3 linked regions of the Saccharomyces cerevisiae S288C genome follow. The main gene of each other region encodes a partner of the protein of the gene in region 2 in a complex. Each region holds a gene or a part of one and is shown on either strand. Other genes may lie near its edges. A codon is read from its position in the direction of its gene.

What was found.
Region 1: the proteins of SGF11 (region 2) and SGF73 are in contact, whole or in part, in a crystal structure (PDB 4FK5), measured with the Saccharomyces cerevisiae proteins. Residues at the interface, in NP_015278.1 of Saccharomyces cerevisiae: Thr5 (codon at 1,836), Ile6 (codon at 1,839), Thr7 (codon at 1,842), Ile8 (codon at 1,845), Asp9 (codon at 1,848), Ile11 (codon at 1,854), Arg30 (codon at 1,911), Gln34 (codon at 1,923); in NP_011449.1 of Saccharomyces cerevisiae: Asp5 (codon at 1,725), Ala6 (codon at 1,728), Glu7 (codon at 1,731), Ile8 (codon at 1,734), Asp70 (codon at 1,920), Lys71 (codon at 1,923), Pro72 (codon at 1,926).
Region 3: the proteins of SGF11 (region 2) and UBP8 are in contact, whole or in part, in a crystal structure (PDB 3MHH), measured with the Saccharomyces cerevisiae proteins. Residues at the interface, in NP_015278.1 of Saccharomyces cerevisiae: Asn18 (codon at 1,875), Leu19 (codon at 1,878), Thr21 (codon at 1,884), Thr22 (codon at 1,887), Gln25 (codon at 1,896), Asp26 (codon at 1,899), Ala29 (codon at 1,908), Arg30 (codon at 1,911), Thr32 (codon at 1,917), Thr33 (codon at 1,920), Gln34 (codon at 1,923), Gln36 (codon at 1,929), Leu37 (codon at 1,932), Leu38 (codon at 1,935), Lys39 (codon at 1,938), Thr40 (codon at 1,941), Arg41 (codon at 1,944), Tyr42 (codon at 1,947), Pro43 (codon at 1,950), Asp44 (codon at 1,953), Leu45 (codon at 1,956), Arg46 (codon at 1,959), Tyr48 (codon at 1,965), Tyr49 (codon at 1,968), Phe50 (codon at 1,971), Ser55 (codon at 1,986), Leu56 (codon at 1,989), Asp57 (codon at 1,992), Ile58 (codon at 1,995), Leu61 (codon at 2,004); in NP_013950.1 of Saccharomyces cerevisiae: Met1 (codon at 1,760), Ser2 (codon at 1,763), Glu51 (codon at 1,910), Ile52 (codon at 1,913), Asn53 (codon at 1,916), Ser54 (codon at 1,919), Gly55 (codon at 1,922), Ala56 (codon at 1,925), Trp69 (codon at 1,964), Asn70 (codon at 1,967), Asn88 (codon at 2,021), Asn90 (codon at 2,027), Asn91 (codon at 2,030), Leu93 (codon at 2,036), Asp101 (codon at 2,060), Tyr102 (codon at 2,063), Ile103 (codon at 2,066), Gly104 (codon at 2,069), Asn105 (codon at 2,072), Asp107 (codon at 2,078), Asn110 (codon at 2,087), Val127 (codon at 2,138), Pro128 (codon at 2,141), Ser129 (codon at 2,144), Met130 (codon at 2,147), Glu131 (codon at 2,150), Arg133 (codon at 2,156), Asp134 (codon at 2,159), Leu136 (codon at 2,165), Ile140 (codon at 2,177).

Annotation. Positions count from the first base shown.
Region 1 is NC_001139.9:375,897-380,204, forward strand, and holds SGF73 (deubiquitination module subunit SGF73), read left to right. Parts: upstream 1-1,712; coding exon 1,713-3,686; downstream 3,687-4,308. Other genes in the region: NPY1 (NAD(+) diphosphatase), read left to right, coding at 205-1,359; ALG2 (GDP-Man:Man(1)GlcNAc(2)-PP-dolichol alpha-1,3-mannosyltransferase), read right to left, coding at 3,864-4,308. UniProt on the Saccharomyces cerevisiae protein: Component of the transcription coactivator SAGA complex. SAGA acts as a general cofactor required for essentially all RNA polymerase II transcription. At the promoters, SAGA is required for transcription pre-initiation complex (PIC) recruitment.
Region 2 is NC_001148.4:464,139-466,761, forward strand, and holds SGF11 (SAGA histone acetyltransferase complex subunit SGF11), read left to right. Parts: upstream 1-1,823; coding exon 1,824-2,123; downstream 2,124-2,623. Other genes in the region: CAM1 (translation elongation factor EF1B gamma), read left to right, coding at 263-1,510; ELC1 (elongin C), read right to left, coding at 2,506-2,623. UniProt on the Saccharomyces cerevisiae protein: Component of the transcription coactivator SAGA complex. SAGA acts as a general cofactor required for essentially all RNA polymerase II transcription. At the promoters, SAGA is required for transcription pre-initiation complex (PIC) recruitment.
Region 3 is NC_001145.3:714,956-718,630, forward strand, and holds UBP8 (ubiquitin-specific protease UBP8), read left to right. Parts: upstream 1-1,759; coding exon 1,760-3,175; downstream 3,176-3,675. Other genes in the region: FMP42 (Fmp42p), read right to left, coding at 1-490; FSH2 (putative serine hydrolase), read right to left, coding at 683-1,354; MRE11 (MRX complex nuclease subunit), read right to left, coding at 3,620-3,675. UniProt on the Saccharomyces cerevisiae protein: Histone deubiquitinating enzyme component of the transcription coactivator SAGA complex. SAGA acts as a general cofactor required for essentially all RNA polymerase II transcription.

The sequences.
Region 1 (4,308 bases), on a different chromosome or scaffold from region 2:
TGTTATAAGTATTTCAGACGGGCTAATCTATCACTTCATAAATCTACTTTTCCAACTTACAAAAGCGGTTGCTTTTCTTCGAAATATAAAGCCCACCAACCATAAGAATAAAGAACAAGAGCAGGAGCGAAACGAAAGAGAAGATAAAGATTGTACCTTTTTGCTCCTGATTTTTTTTTGATTACGCTACGGTTAGTTGAGAGAATGTCCACTGCTGTGACTTTTTTTGGCCAGCATGTCTTGAACAGAGTTTCGTTCTTAAGATGTTCGAAAGAGTTCATCAAAAAATCATTGAACCATGACTCTACCGTTTTTATCCCATTTATCGAAGGGGAAGCCCTCATTTCGCCCGAAAATGGTGACCTAGTTCAGCTTTCTAATTCTGTAAAGTCTTACAAGAATATTTTGTCAGCAATAGTTCCTTTATACACTACTTTATTGAACACAACTCGCTCAAGAAGCGATGAATCAGGCATCAATGTAACATTTTTAGGTCTCCTGGAAGGCACAGATTCTGCATTTAATTTTGAATGGTCTAATATTTCTTACAAAGGAACACCATATTTTGGATTAGATATCCGTGTTACTGAGAGCACACTCTTCAAGAAAGTCGACTTTGAGCCTATTTTTTCCTATCCGAAGGTGACCAGAGATCACATTTTCAAACAAACAAATGAGGATGCTTCACTTTATTCACAAGGTAAGATGTATCTGGATTGGCTAGCAAAGTACAAATTCTGTCCCGGTTGTGGGTCTCCGTTATTCCCAGTAGAGGCAGGAACTAAGCTTCAGTGTTCTAATGAAAATCGGAATGTATACTGTAATGTGAGAGATGCAAGAATTAATAACGTTTGCTTCCCAAGAACTGATCCAACGGTCATTATAGCCTTGACCAATTCGGATTACTCTAAGTGTTGTCTGGCAAGATCAAAAAAAAGGTACGGTGATTTTGTATTGTATTCAACAATAGCAGGTTTTATGGAGCCATCAGAAACCATAGAGGAGGCTTGTATCAGAGAAATATGGGAGGAAACAGGCATTTCATGCAAAAATATTGATATAGTCCGGTCACAGCCCTGGCCTTACCCTTGCAGTTTGATGATTGGCTGTTTAGGCATAGTTCAATTCAATTCCAAAAATGAGGTTATCAACCTGAATCATGACGACGAATTATTGGATGCTCAATGGTTTGATACAACTGAAATCATTCAAGCTTTGGATAAGTACGCCGGCGGGTATCGTGTTCCATTCAAAAATGATATCAATTTACCTGGAAGTACTACCATTGCCTTCCAATTAATCAATCATGTTTGCGAGAACTATAAAAACTTACGTAAGACCTCATCGAGCCATCTATAGTTTTTAATATAATAAACATTGATAAATAGGCGTGCTTCAGCATATGGATATTTTTCACTCAGTTACCCGAAGAAAACAGAGGTGCGTCATAATGCAAATGCTAAATGAATGAATATAGGATGTTAGATTGCTGGTACAAGCAATTTTGAAACAAAAATCATTACGAACAGAAGAAAGTGGAGCTGAAGAGCGTATATAGTTGTTCATAGCTGTAAAATAATTTCTAAATTACTATTTAGAACCTTTTTGATATCCAGCATCGCTCATTAGAGATTAATTTACCAAAACGGAATAAACCAAAAAAATAAGAATAGTGAACACACAAGAGAAGCGCAAAAGAGTAAAGAGCTAAAATGAGGTCAGGCGATGCAGAGATTAAAGGAATTAAGCCCAAAGTTATTGAGGAATATTCTTTATCTCAGGGAAGTGGTCCTTCCAACGATTCATGGAAAAGTTTAATGTCGTCCGCGAAGGACACTCCTTTGCAGTATGATCACATGAATCGCGAAAGTCTAAAAAAATACTTCAATCCGAATGCACAACTCATTGAAGATCCTTTGGATAAACCGATTCAGTATAGAGTGTGCGAAAAATGTGGGAAACCCTTAGCTTTGACAGCAATTGTAGACCACTTAGAAAACCATTGTGCGGGAGCATCTGGAAAAAGTAGCACAGATCCAAGAGATGAGAGTACTAGGGAAACGATACGAAATGGAGTAGAATCAACTGGGAGAAATAATAACGACGATGACAATAGCAATGATAATAACAATGATGATGATGATGATGACGATAACGACGACAACGAAGATGATGATGACGCTGATGATGACGACGATAATTCCAATGGTGCCAATTACAAGAAGAATGACTCTTCTTTTAACCCTTTGAAAAGATCCACATCTATGGAATCTGCGAACACACCAAATATGGACACGAAAAGATCGAAAACTGGGACTCCTCAAACCTTCAGCTCTTCCATAAAAAAACAAAAGAAAGTCAAACAAAGAAACCCAACTGAAAAGCATTTAATTGATTTCAACAAACAGTGTGGTGTAGAGTTGCCGGAAGGTGGTTACTGTGCACGTTCGCTGACATGTAAGTCCCATTCAATGGGTGCAAAGAGGGCTGTCTCTGGTCGTTCCAAGCCCTACGACGTCTTGCTAGCAGATTATCATAGAGAACATCAAACAAAAATTGGTGCAGCTGCTGAGAAACGTGCTAAGCAACAAGAATTACAAAAATTACAAAAGCAGATACAAAAAGAGCAGAAAAAACATACTCAGCAACAGAAACAAGGTCAAAGGTCTAAGCAAAGAAATGTGAATGGTGGGAAATCAGCCAAAAATGGTGGTAAGAGTACTGTACACAATGGTAACAATATCAATGAGATAGGACACGTTAACCTAACTCCTGAAGAGGAAACAACACAGGTTCTAAATGGGGTATCCCGATCTTTCCCACTGCCACTAGAGTCAACGGTACTATCGTCAGTTAGATACAGGACTAAATATTTTAGAATGAGGGAAATGTTTGCTTCCTCCTTTTCTGTGAAACCAGGATATACATCTCCAGGTTACGGTGCGATCCATTCTCGTGTAGGATGCTTGGATTTGGATAGAACAACAGATTACAAATTTCGTGTTAGGACTCCACAGCCAATTAATCACCTCACAAACCAAAACCTCAATCCGAAACAAATACAAAGACTACAACAACAGAGAGCTCTACAGGCTCAGCTTCTTTCTCAACAACAGCAACAGCAGCAACAGCAGCAGCAACATCACTCACCCCAAGCGCAGGCCCAGGCCAGTACCCAACAACCTACTCAAGGTATGGTGCCCAATCATTTCCCCGGCGGGGCAACGAATTCATCATTTAATGCCAATGTGTCGAGCAAGCAAATTCAGCAGCAGCAGCAGCAGCAGCAGCACAAGTCTCAAGACACAGGTCTCACGCCGCTGGAGATACAATCACAACAACAAAAACTACGACAACAACAACTACAACAACAGAAGTTTGAAGCTGCTGCTTCATATTTAGCCAACGCTACCAAATTAATGCAAGAATCAAATCAAGATAGCCATTTATCTGGCACCCACAACAATAATAGTAGTAAAAACGGTAACAATAACCTCATGACGATGAAAGCCTCCATAAGCTCTCCCAATACTAGCGTAAATAGTATCCAATCTCCCCCTAGTGTCAACAGCGTCAATGGCTCCGGGCAAGGTGTATCTACCGGTATTAATGTCTCTGGCAATAACGGGAGAATTGAAGTAGGTATTGGAAATTCTGTGAACCCCTACAATGGCAGAATAAATTAATTGAATCATGCACGTTATCCAGCATGTTCACGAAGTGAGTAATAAAAAATTATTCGCCGAAGTAACATGTACACGTCTATGTTTGTGGACAAGTTACGCTATTTGCATTTAGAGATTTCTTCTCCAATGTAAATTATTTTTTCTTCGGGGGGTATACATTATTTATTTAAGTAGACATTATATTTCTTCATAAGGGTAGGAGAGAGCGAATACAAATGCCCAGTAAATTCCCCATAAGTAGTTCTTAAAATATAATACCATAAAAGTGGCCATAAATAGGAAGGGCCATGGATTATTGGGTAGAATTTTTATAAATGCCATATGCAAAATAAAATTAGAGAATGAAATACCGAATATTTCCCAAGGATAATACTTTTTTTCTTTCCATATGACTTTCTCGACGTTTTCTTCAAATGACTGAGTCATTGCTTCCCTAGAAAAGTATTTCTTGACTCTTAGCGGGCCATTCCTCTCAAAGTTCACAGAACCGTTCTGCAAGATCTTTCTGCTTTCATCAATTGCAGTAGCCCATTGAATAGGGACGGCAGGTTTTAGCCACCCAGTGGCAGAACTTTCATTTTCACCAGCAACGTAAGATTTGATAGTCTCCAAAGGACCTCCA
Region 2 (2,623 bases):
CTTGCTGCTGCAGGTCGTTGGGCGTTGATTCCTGTTTTTTTCTTTCGTTTTTTCAATCCGCGGGAGTGAGACATGATTAGTGTAGTCCTTGTAGAGTTCCTTATTTATTTTTTTATTAGTTTTCTTGTTTTCGTTTATCAGCAGGGTTTGGTTGTGTTGCTTGGCAGCCCGCAAATTGGTCTTCCCTCCTTGTTATTGTATTTTCTGTTATTAGAGCATACAGAACATAGAAACTCAAGATCAGATACAGTTTTTGCACGCCATGTCTCAAGGTACTTTATATGCTAACTTCAGAATTAGAACTTGGGTCCCAAGAGGTCTTGTCAAGGCTTTGAAGCTGGACGTTAAGGTTGTTACGCCAGATGCCGCCGCTGAACAGTTCGCAAGGGACTTTCCCTTGAAGAAGGTTCCGGCTTTCGTGGGTCCAAAGGGTTACAAGCTAACCGAGGCAATGGCGATTAACTATTATTTAGTAAAGCTTTCACAGGACGACAAGATGAAGACTCAACTTTTAGGTGCCGACGATGACTTAAATGCCCAAGCGCAAATCATCAGATGGCAATCTTTGGCCAACAGTGATCTGTGCATCCAGATTGCCAACACCATCGTTCCCTTGAAGGGCGGCGCCCCCTACAACAAGAAGAGCGTTGATTCTGCGATGGACGCTGTTGACAAGATCGTCGACATCTTCGAGAACAGATTGAAAAACTACACCTATTTGGCTACGGAAAACATCTCCTTGGCCGACTTGGTGGCTGCCTCGATTTTCACCAGATACTTTGAAAGCCTGTTCGGTACTGAATGGAGAGCTCAACATCCAGCCATCGTGAGATGGTTCAACACCGTTAGAGCCTCACCCTTCTTGAAGGATGAATACAAGGATTTCAAGTTCGCTGACAAGCCATTGAGTCCCCCTCAAAAGAAGAAGGAAAAGAAGGCCCCAGCCGCCGCTCCCGCCGCTTCGAAGAAGAAGGAGGAAGCCAAGCCAGCTGCTACCGAAACTGAAACTTCTTCCAAGAAACCAAAGCACCCATTAGAATTATTGGGCAAGTCAACTTTCGTTTTGGATGACTGGAAGAGAAAGTACTCCAATGAAGACACCAGACCAGTTGCTTTACCTTGGTTTTGGGAGCACTACAACCCAGAAGAGTATTCCCTGTGGAAAGTCACCTACAAGTACAACGATGAATTGACTTTGACTTTCATGTCCAACAACTTGGTCGGTGGTTTCTTCAACAGATTGTCCGCCTCTACCAAGTACATGTTCGGTTGTCTGGTAGTCTACGGTGAAAACAACAACAACGGTATTGTTGGTGCAGTTATGGTTAGGGGCCAAGATTACGTTCCAGCTTTCGATGTCGCACCAGATTGGGAATCTTACGACTATGCAAAGTTGGATCCAACTAACGACGACGACAAAGAATTCATCAATAACATGTGGGCCTGGGATAAGCCAGTTTCCGTCAATGGCGAACCAAAGGAAATTGTTGACGGTAAGGTCTTAAAATAATCTCTTCGTACTATCCTTCATGTCGCCTTTTATTATAAAGTATGCTAGGTAGTTTTATCTATATCTTATTTATGACGCAATATAGGGTAACAGAGTTTTTCTGCTCTGAAACTTCCGCAGAAAAAAAATCAAGTTTTCCTTTTCGTATCTTGGATTATTGTTATATAATAGATGCATGTATTATATGTATAGCAGTGATTTGCTTATTTTCTTGATTCTGAGGAATCGAAGAAGTAACTTAGCGTTTCTTCCGTTGAGCAGAGCAGTATAATAATCCTTCAAATTCTTTAGGTTACGGGGTTTTCCTGTTGCGATGACCGAAGAAACTATTACTATAGATTCTATTTCAAATGGGATACTGAATAACCTGTTAACCACATTGATCCAGGACATTGTAGCTCGGGAAACCACTCAACAACAATTGCTGAAGACAAGATATCCGGATCTTCGCAGTTATTATTTCGACCCGAACGGATCTCTCGATATTAATGGACTACAGAAGCAACAAGAGTCCTCTCAGTATATTCACTGTGAGAATTGTGGCAGGGATGTGTCCGCAAACAGACTAGCAGCTCATTTACAGAGATGTTTGAGTAGGGGTGCTAGACGTTGACACTAGGTGGTGGTTTATGGGTAATTGAAAAGGCACAGACAGATTTTAGCCCATTTCTTGTGGGCATAGGTTCATAAAAAAAGCAAGATTCTTACATTTTATGCGGCATATCTGCACATAGAAGTTCATGTAGTTATGTGGTAACATCTCAAAGAGAGAAGGCGAAAACTGTTTTAGCTATTAACTACATGTTTTTATAATAGCACCTCCCATATATGATGCCAAATGATACCTTGCATTCCGTTATGTGGAAGGGTTACACATAAGTACGCTATAACAATGCATTCAATTTTCTACATATCAGAGTAATATGCTGCAACATCACACCCATATAATATAATTTTTTGAAAGAGTTCCTAACTCTTTTTTGTTTTTCCTGTACCTATATACTCAAATAGTCCGCCGCAAGTAGCAGCTCTAACGACATTTCTGTCGGTATTTCAAACTCTGGAATCTCATCATCGTCCTCGCTAACGCCGCTGTACTTCAAATTATAATTT
Region 3 (3,675 bases), on a different chromosome or scaffold from region 2:
ACGAATCAAATGATCCTGTTAGTAGGGCCAATACGGTTCCTGATCTTTGTGGGAAGCTATTTGCCAATTGAAAACATGAAATGAAGACGAACGGACCGGCAACTGCCAAAAGCGTGTAACCGACAAGATATGGGTCCCAAAGAGACACTAGATGCTTGGCAGAAATAAAATTACCGCTTGCTAGGAACAAGAGACATGATCCTATTATTCCGCAGACACGAGGTCCATACATATCCAAAATCTTACCGACAGGAAGGGCCATGATGTTTGTTACAGTAGCACTGAGAGCAAATATAAAATTTAATTTCAGATCCTGTGCAGTACATAATAATCTATCACCATCCTTAGGATCACACAATTCATGGTATACACCTTCTGAAATTAAAATAGGTTTCAAAGCAGCAAATCCAAAGATAATACCAGCTGAAAAAAGACACCAGATACAAGCACAGGCAACCTGTGCGTATCTCAACGTTCTTGTACTGGTCATTACAGTCTTTACTGCCCTAATACTGGCCTAACGAGGAATAAAATCATTTATAGATGCCATTGTTATCGTTATCATAATGAAGCATCGTATCGGTAGTTAAGTTAATTTGACGTATTATTACCCGGAGGATTTAATCATGTATAAATATGTATGTGAAGATTATGTGAAGATTACGTGCTATATATACTTGCCTCAGGTCAACTGCTGGAGCCATTGAGCCACTTTTCTCACAAACCCTCTTGAGTTCGGCACAAAGTGGCCCCCAGAGTGCATTAGTAAAGTGCGAGAGTCTTCCGTACAAGAGTTATATAGGCCTTGCACTTTGGCCGGCTCTGTGATAGTGTCAAGTTCTCCTTGAACATGTAGAGATGGGACCGATATTGGATGCAGGTCGTACTGTTCTTGATACTGTTGTGGTTGGAACCTGAAACCACTGACCGCCATGAAAAATTCTAGCGGCGGCTGTTCTTCTGTTGTAAGGCCCAACAAACCATTGAAATCCGTTGCTAGGTATCCAGCTACACCGGCTCCTTGACTAAATCCTACAATACCTGCAAATGGACCATTTTCAAGGACATAATTGTGTAAATAGTCGATTGTCGTCTGCGGTATGAAATAGCCACCGGTGGAAGGGTCATTCTCTAGCCACGCAAGCACACCGGTATTCTCACCATCCCCAGGTGCATCAGCAATTACCTCACCCAAGAAATCAGGAACATCAGCTGGGGGAAATTCATTGGGTGCTGTTGGATAGTAGAGTTTATATCCTAACTTTTCCATTTCGGCGCGAAACCCCTTTGTCTTAGAGGCAAAGTAGTCACCTGACTGCGCAAGCCCATGTAACATCAATACATTCTTCGTCATGGTTACAGCTATTAAATCTTATAGTCTTGTAGTATTGCACATTCTTTCTTCACTTATACCTTTTTTTTCTTCTCTATTCTTCCTTTTTTTGCTTTTCTTTGAATTTTTCAAGTGAAAAAAAATCCTCGATTATAGTGTGTAAAAAGCATCAATAATTTATATTGTATATGGGCTAGAAAGCTGTCGTAATAGCAAAGGGATTATATTAGTGGACCTGATTAATTCTAAAAAGATATTTTACGGATAATAATAAAGGTTTTCTTTTGAGACCAGTTAGTCCATTTCTTTCAACTGGCTGTCATAATTTTGAATACTATTTATTGATCGGATCAAAAGGGAAAACTACAGCTTCGGTCCTCGTCGTCCTACTTGAAACCCTGCTTTTTTTATTTGTTATTAATAATTATGAGCATTTGTCCACATATACAGCAAGTATTTCAGAATGAAAAGTCTAAAGATGGGGTTCTAAAAACGTGCAATGCTGCCAGGTATATATTAAATCATTCCGTACCCAAGGAAAAATTCTTAAACACCATGAAATGTGGTACATGCCACGAAATAAACTCTGGTGCAACTTTCATGTGTCTACAATGTGGATTTTGTGGATGTTGGAACCATTCGCATTTTCTCTCTCACAGTAAACAGATTGGTCACATATTTGGTATCAACTCAAATAATGGCCTTTTATTTTGCTTCAAATGTGAGGACTATATAGGGAATATCGATCTGATTAACGATGCTATCCTAGCGAAGTATTGGGACGACGTGTGCACAAAGACCATGGTTCCTAGCATGGAAAGAAGAGATGGGCTTTCTGGCCTGATCAACATGGGATCCACTTGTTTCATGAGTAGTATTCTCCAATGTCTAATCCATAACCCTTACTTTATTAGGCACTCAATGAGTCAAATTCATTCTAATAATTGTAAAGTGCGTTCTCCAGATAAATGTTTTTCATGTGCACTCGATAAAATTGTTCATGAACTTTATGGAGCGCTGAATACAAAGCAAGCTTCTTCGTCATCTACATCTACTAATCGGCAAACCGGATTCATATATCTTTTAACTTGTGCCTGGAAAATCAATCAAAATCTAGCAGGGTATTCACAACAAGATGCTCATGAATTTTGGCAGTTTATAATTAACCAAATCCACCAAAGCTATGTTCTTGATTTGCCAAATGCCAAGGAAGTCAGCAGAGCAAATAATAAGCAGTGTGAATGCATAGTGCATACTGTGTTTGAGGGCTCCTTGGAAAGTTCTATTGTGTGTCCAGGCTGTCAAAATAATTCAAAGACAACCATTGATCCATTCTTGGATCTTTCTCTGGATATCAAGGATAAGAAAAAACTTTATGAATGTCTTGACAGTTTCCATAAAAAAGAACAGTTGAAGGATTTCAACTATCATTGTGGGGAGTGTAACAGCACTCAAGATGCAATAAAGCAACTAGGCATACACAAATTACCATCGGTTTTGGTTTTGCAATTGAAAAGATTCGAACACCTACTTAATGGAAGTAACAGAAAACTAGACGATTTTATTGAATTTCCAACTTATTTAAATATGAAAAATTACTGTTCAACGAAGGAAAAAGATAAGCATTCTGAAAATGGCAAGGTTCCAGACATTATTTACGAATTAATCGGTATTGTTTCCCACAAGGGGACGGTTAATGAGGGACATTATATTGCATTTTGTAAAATTTCTGGAGGGCAATGGTTTAAATTCAATGATTCCATGGTCTCCTCTATATCTCAAGAAGAGGTTTTAAAGGAACAGGCATATTTATTATTCTACACCATTCGTCAAGTAAATTGATTCAGCAAATAGCATTCAACAATAATAATAAAACAAAAAAGAAGAAAAAGCTATGCATATTCCTATCACAGTTAACGCTTGCTTCCGTTCTTTTTTCTATATCATCGTTTCCATCATGTTTTTCTTTAAATTGAATACTTTCCTATGCTCTTAATGAGTTGCGATTGTGCATATACTGTATTTCAAAATCCTTTGTATCTAACTAAGGAAGAAAATTACTATGACGTTTATTCAGGATTTTTTTTTTTCATTCCTTGCTATACGAACAAAAGAGCAAAGGCTGGAAAACTAAGTGAGTTTATATATAGTAATAATTAAAGAACATATCATTATCATGAATTTAGAATGCAAATTTGCTCCTCTCAAAATGGCATACCTTGTTGTTCGCGAAGGCAAGCCCTTGGTTATAAATAGGATATAATATAATATAGGGATCAAGTACAACTATTTTCTTTTCTTAGCAAGGAGACTTCCAAGAATATCCGTCTTTGGCGTCCTTG